Arabidopsis thaliana: one gene and its partner. The protein of the gene in region 2 interacts with the protein of the main gene of each other region in a pairwise test. Each region holds a gene or a part of one and is shown on either strand. Other genes may lie near its edges. The genes, in order: AT1G44830 and bZIP58.

Region 1 (3,619 bases), about 12 Mb from region 2:
ACATAACAAGAAACCAAAACAACTCATGTGGCTTTCTGCTCAAATCTACTGTTAGATTTTTCTTCAGACCAATGTTGGAGTAAAATGGATGTCAATTTTTTTACGATATCTAAGCACAAACGTACACAGTTTTCCACGTACGTTAACTCTTTCTCTTTGGTTTTACCAATTCTAACCAGTCACCACACAAAACCATTCTGCATCTCTTGTCTCTTCTCTCTTTTTCCTTATCTTTCTTCTAAATAAATAATATTTATACACTTACTCTATTCAACAATAATTAAGTAGGATTAATCATCGCCTTCTATGACAAGCCTCATGAAACTTGCTTCTTACTCTTTGACTTTGCAAAACTTTTCACATGAAAAATCTGCTTTCTGTTTAACTCATTAGCTAATACTTTTATATCCTTAATAAAGAAAAATCATATATACAGTACTTATATCGCATAGTCATCTTACCACCACTTATTTTGTATCATGTACACATTTACATCAAACAGTGTTAGTGTTAAAGTCAGTAACGCCAAATTTTGCATTCATACTATAAAATCTGAAATGATTGTTTTCAACACTAACTCTTAACTTTTAGGTTTCAGAATTTAATCAACAACAATATGATTCTGTACTTTTTCGTTTTTACCTTTTAACTTGTTATCATTCGAAGTTCTTTGTTCAAAAGCTATAAATCTATTTCCATACTTAACCACTACTACTAGATTTAGTGAACTCTTAACATGAAAAATATCTAATTTCAAAAATAATTTAGATATTGGTACAAAGATCCCCAAATGTTCCATACATTGTGAGAATTGATAGAAAAGGGAAGAAAAAAATGTATAACACATTGTATAAGTTACATAACTCAAGTATATATATTGAAACAAAGAATAAGGTATAATGAAAGTAGAATCAGCAGAAGTTCCATAATCTGATATCTCCTTCCTCAAAGAAATCATCAGAAAGTGATGTTGTCAAATACGGCGCGGAGACTCCATTAATGAACATGAACTGATCATCACCATCAAAGCAGTTGTACCATGATGATGATTCAGACAAGGAGACTTGTTGGTCATACTGTGACATGGAGACAACATCATAGAGATCTTCAGATGGAGAGGAAAGCAATGGAGATGAAGTAGAGACTGATGATGAGGAAGGATCTGTGTTGGCAGCAGCAGCTGCAGCTGCTACTCTTTGTATAGACTTAGGGGACATGTCATTGTTGTTATCACCATTGTTGATAATATGGTAGAGAGAAGTTGAGATCTCTGGGAAGTTGAGATTATTAGCTGAGGATCCTTTAAGACATAGGAGTGCTGCGTCGTAGGCTCTAGCCGCGGCTTCAGCAGTTGAGTAAGAACCAAGCCAGATCCTTGTCTTTTGATTAGGAGCTCTGATCTCTGAAACCCATGAACCCCAACTTCTCATTCTCACTCCCTTGTACTTCTTCATCCTTATGGATGATGATGATGTTGATGAGGATGATGAAGATGATGATGATGGAGATGACATTCTCTTTGGTGTCTTTTGAAGTGTTTTCACCATTTTTGATACTAATTAAGGGAGGAAGTTGGAGGAGAAGAATGGTGTGTTTCTATTTATAGAGAACAAAAATGGAAAGAGAAACATAAAGAACTCAAAAGAAAAAAAAATACTATGAACATAGTCAAAGAAAGTAGCATGGGGCACACACAAAGAGATTAATACTTTTCTTTTAAATAATGTAAGAGACAGGTGTTTTTAATTTATTTATAAAAAAGATTTTCCTTAATCACAATCCCATATGCTACACCCAATCACAGATCACTAATAAGAGAATCCCTATTTTTTATTTTCAAAAATGCATATTTATTGATTTGACCTCCAAGGCTCCAAGCTAATTCTTTAGTTCCACAAAAGTACACTATTGTTTACAACTAAAAGTTACTACTTCTTGAGCCTCAGAATCTTGAATAAAAATGTAAATAACAAAAATCAGTACTCATATGAGAATATTAATATCAAGATACGACAGAAAGTTATAAAACATTATAAGAGGAAACATTGGATTCTATTTTTAGAGGCAACTTCTAGGAGCTAAGAGCATGTGATTTTTTAAGGTACAAACAAAAGACAAAGTTAATCATAAGAATAATTTAACTATCGAATTATTTTGATAAATGAGATGCAAAATGAAATCACATGCATGATTATAGATATATATATATATATATATATAATACAAAAATTACAAGTTTTTTTTTTTGGTTAAAAGGCCTAAACATAATTCAGAATCTTAAACGTTAAAGTAGCTGAAGTCATGTTTACCAAGGTAATGCACAAGAGCTGGTGCTCTTCTGTCTTAATGGGACTTTTAAAACCGCGTTAACTAGCTCTTTGTGTCTCCTTGTCACACGTAAAATTCTCTCTGTAAAAAGGCTTTTACTAAATTAATTAAATTCAGATTCTTTTGTCAAACTGCATTGTAATATTAAATAATATTGTACTACTAACTAAATAAACTAAAGTAAAATCGTCAAACCTCATAATAGTCTTGCACTGTTTATTAACTAAACTAATCTGCGGTTATATTTAGTCGGCACTAGAATTAAATTAAGACGCGTAAGAGTACTACTAAACTAATCTATTCGTGTTCACGTTCTAGCCAGACGACTCTATTTCTTTTTTCTCTTTTGGGGTACTATAATATAACAATAATGAAGGTTTTTTATTCATATCAAGAAACGAATCAACAGAATTGTTCGTTGGAAAATGCAGGCAACATTTTACAAAAGTTTATGATAAAACAAAACCAACAATGTTCTACCATTTTTATATTAATATTTGCACTCAATGACTGTAATTACAAACGTGGTATTTGAATAAATAATCAAATTAATTCCATCTAAAGAGAATGATTCAAATTTTGACTATTTTACTTTCTTTTAAGAAAAATAATAGTTATAACTAAATCTTACGTGACGAATTCTTTAACATTAGTATTCTATGTGCACATCTAATTTATCAAAATGAAGTTTTTATATGTTTTGGCTCTTATATCTACAACTTGTAGAACACATTTCCTCTACTACATTATTTTCGTTATGTAGACATCTAATTTATAAAACATATTTATGTTTTTGTCATATAATCATGTTATCTATGTTTTTGGATATATCTATATTATTTAGCGGGTTAAAATATTTGTATATCCAAGCTTATCAAATAAATTATACTTTTCAAAGTCATTTACGGAAAAAAAACATTTTACATTTTCTCTCAATATTTTACCAATATGACTTTGCTATTTTCTAAAAACAACTATAACATTCTCATTCACCGAAAGATATCTCCATTTCATACCATTTAACTAATTCACTATTTTACATTTATTTTTATTTACCAATAAATATTTTCTTTTCACCACAATGTCACCATATTCACCCAATCACATTCTTTGTTGATTGTTTTAGTGTCTAGAGCTCGACAGTCTGAAGCTATACGTGTAACTGTGTAAGAACAAGAAGAAGATGAGTTACATTGTGTCATAAAGCTTGAGTGATCGGATCGGGTAAAATCCGAGAAGCTAAAGCAATTAAGCTAGCTACCTAACGAAGAATAGTGAGCGAACCCTACCT
Region 2 (3,661 bases):
AATGTTTTTTTTTTATTTTTTATGATGCAAGTCTATTTATGCGGCGAACTGAAATTTTGGGAGTAAGATTTGGTATTATATCGTCATAAGAACCGATACATTTAATATTTTTGATAATCGAAATTTATCATTCATTTGAATTTTATGATTAAAAACTCGACGCCTGGAAATTCAGCAACATATACTTTTTTTTTGATAAAAACTTTCAGCAACATATTGGTACAAACAAATTTATTGGTAACTAAGGCAGACTTTCTTGCAATCTTATAAAAACACATAAAGAGAAGTACGGACATAAAATAAAACAACGAAAACATTACTTTAGTATTCTCTTGAAAGTTACATGTAACTGATCTAAAATTTCATGTCGACCAGACTTGATTAATACTAAAAATGATGTCACCTGGAACACCTGTTCTGCCAGTGCGAATTAATTCACATCGATCGTGAAACTAATTTTTTTTTATCTTTTTGGAACTGACTCAATGTTATTTTGAGTTTTGTAGGTTTTTGATTCATACATATTTTTAGGACACTTATCGCTTGAAAAAGGCTTTAAATTGAGAACAATATACTATTTATCGTACGTCCATGATCATCACTAATATTCTTAACTAACTCAAGTTGGCTAAAAGAAAAAAAGATATAGAAGAACAATATTTTTTCTCGATAGAGAATAACATTATTAATGATATTATATCATATAATATAGTATGATCCTTAGGAAATCTACAGTCTTGACATAAGCAGAACAATGATCAAGATCATTAACACAACTCAAAATCTCTGCCGCTTTGGTTCGAATCCGATCTAGAGTTTGATATCGAATCTTCGAGCTCTCTTAAAAAACTGTTGTCGTCTTCGTTGTGTGACTTTATCTCAGAGATCAGCTGTCTGAGATCAGAAGTTTCCTCTTTAAGCTTAGCGTTCTCCTTTAAAGCAAGCTCATGGCTTTCAGATACGCGGTTCAGCTTATCCATAAGACAGTGGTTATCAGTGCGAAGTCTTATCACTTGAGACCAAAGCTCATCGAGATGTCTCTGCTTTCTCATTCTTGACCTACGAGCAGATTCCCTGTTAGAGATCATTCTCCTTTGTTTCCTCTCATCGATGACCATACTTTGTTGGTGATCTTCGTCTGAAGTTGAGTTGTTGCTCGTCATTAGATCCTGACCATTGGATGATGAAGAGTAGTTGTTGTTGTTGATCAGACCATTGAGGTGGTAGAAGGAGGAACAAGAAGTAGGAGAAGAGGGCATGTTGAAGTACTCAGACTCCATGATTGGTGTTTGGTTATTATATTTATCTGGTGGTAGATAGTGGAAGTATCCAGTGAGTTCGGCTGGAATCGTGTTCATGATCTTTGCTTTGATTTGTTTCGTGATATGTCTTGTGTTGTTGAAAGATAGTTTGTGGGATGTTTTTAGAGCTAGAGAGGGAGGGTTCTGTGTGTTGTGTGAAGTGGTTTTGAAGTAAGAGGAAGAGAGGGCTAAGGGTTTTATAGAGGAGGGAGGCAAAGTTATGTAGAAAATGGTGTTGAATATAATTCATTATTTTAGTAAAAATATTAGATACATAAAGATTAGTTCATTCAGAAAGTTCTAATACGATGATTTGTAATACTCGATTTCGTATAAATAAATATAATTAATTAATGATGGTATAAAAAAATAATCTACTTGATTATATATACGACAAATATATTGTTTCTAAGATTATTTTATTTTTTCTTTTGTTTTTTTTTGTAGAACCACAAAGTTAATATTGTTTAGGTGGACTAACTTTATTTGGGTGGATTGGTGGATTGATGGTTTTATGAGATGTCTCCAAAATTCAGCCAACTTATACTTTATTTGTTGCATATGAGTTGAAAAAGTTCGCTCACGTTTCAATAACTTTCTAGCATTTTTTGTGGCTGCCTTCTTTTTGTCACTTGAGATGAATAATCAAATTACAAAAACTTCTTTACCAGATGGAATAGTATTAAATTTATATATATATATATATATATATATATCTCTACCAATTGCATGACATATATAAATTTAAATGGCTAAATAAAATAAAAATAAAACGCTATTTATTTATATAGAAAACTTCGTATAACACATTTTAAATCCAATTTTTAACTAGAAATAGCTATTGCCTCCACAATTAACAGTACTATTGAAATATATAATGCTAATATGCATAATAGCTATGATTGTCTTATGTCATATCACCAACCATAAATATTTTTCGCGTATTAGATAAATTACTGTATAAACCACTGTAGTAATCATATCTCTCTCTTTTTTCTTTCTTTTGTGTTTGTGAGTAACCGTTAATTAATCATAGCCAATAAATATATGCATCATACAAGACAAATATTGCCGTAATTCCTTACGTACTTAATTCACTTCACCAAGAACAAACACTTTTTCTGGAAAAAAAATTATTGGGCATGGAAAATTATATTGTTTGTGAAAATTTCAAGGAACGAAAACAAGGTGGGGTTTCCACTTGCTGCTCTAATTCAAGAAGTCTTAATTTTTATGATTGGCGACTAAGTTGAAATATAGATTAATTTCAAGCATTGCATCTACCATGTGATATCTCCAGTAGTAAAAAAAAACATAAAATCGAAAAAAAAAATATGACTGAGAAATGTCAATAATTACATTTTTTTCATTCATAATTAAGTATGATCTGTGTAGACTTGACCGATGAGTGTTAATTGAGTGATATGGCTCTAATCCACAAGACTATAACTACTCCATACCTTTTCAATGCCTATTTGTTTCCTAAATGAACTAGTAATCATTAATCAAGTCCATTTAAAAACTAATTAATTAGGTGTTTTCCCACTATTGATCTTAATTAATAAATCAAACGACATGAGATAAGTTTTAATTGTAGATAACAAGAGACGCCTAAATCCATGTCTCTCTCGCTCTATAATTGTATAGATAAAGTGGTTTTTAATAATTAACATACAACAAGTTTAAATAAAATCATCGTCCATGCCTTCCTATACTACATTGTTTTCAAATGCAGATCGAAAAACGAACTAGAAAAGTTTTTGGTGTGGAGTCATCGAGTTAGTCCGGTCAGATCATGGGCTGTTACACAATTCAAGACACTAATCATACAATAATAATATATAAAGTAATCATAAGATATTTTAAATCATAATTAATTAACACTAATATAGTAATATATACTGTAACTAAATCTTGAATATTATAAAATCCTAACTGGAGAAAAACGTAAATGATAAATAAATCTCTAATATTTGAAGAAAAAAATTCTACCAAAAGGACTCGAAAAAAGAACAATATATATTTCAATTAATGGAAGGAAACCATAATTAATAATAATAATAATAATAATTAAAAAATCAGAAATAACCATGAATCAACAGTCTCCAAACGCTAATTATGTATTTTATCCAGCTTCCACTCCAACAGTCCAAGCCTTTTACTATATTTGAATGTTGACCGCTGAAATCCTTATTCTATTAAAATTACTAAGCCATTCAGCATTTAGCAATATGATTCGTCCATCAACATAACTCCAATCACATCTACATTATTCCTATCTTAAAGAAAATTTTAACAAAATTTGGTAATCCTTTCCATACTATTCGCGTTCTCTGTGTTAGAGTGTTAGTAGTTATTGC

Evidence for each region.
Region 1: the proteins of bZIP58 (region 2) and AT1G44830 interact in a two-hybrid assay, tested with the Arabidopsis thaliana proteins (one large-scale study listed by BioGRID).

The regions. Positions count from the first base shown.
Region 1 is NC_003070.9:16,931,720-16,935,338, reverse strand, and holds AT1G44830 (Integrase-type DNA-binding superfamily protein), read right to left. Parts: upstream 1,641-3,619; 5' UTR 1,548-1,640; coding exon 912-1,547; 3' UTR 771-911; downstream 1-770.
Region 2 is NC_003070.9:4,650,020-4,653,680, forward strand, and holds bZIP58 (basic leucine-zipper 58), read right to left. Parts: upstream 1,531-3,661; 5' UTR 1,359-1,530; coding exon 768-1,358; 3' UTR 587-767; downstream 1-586.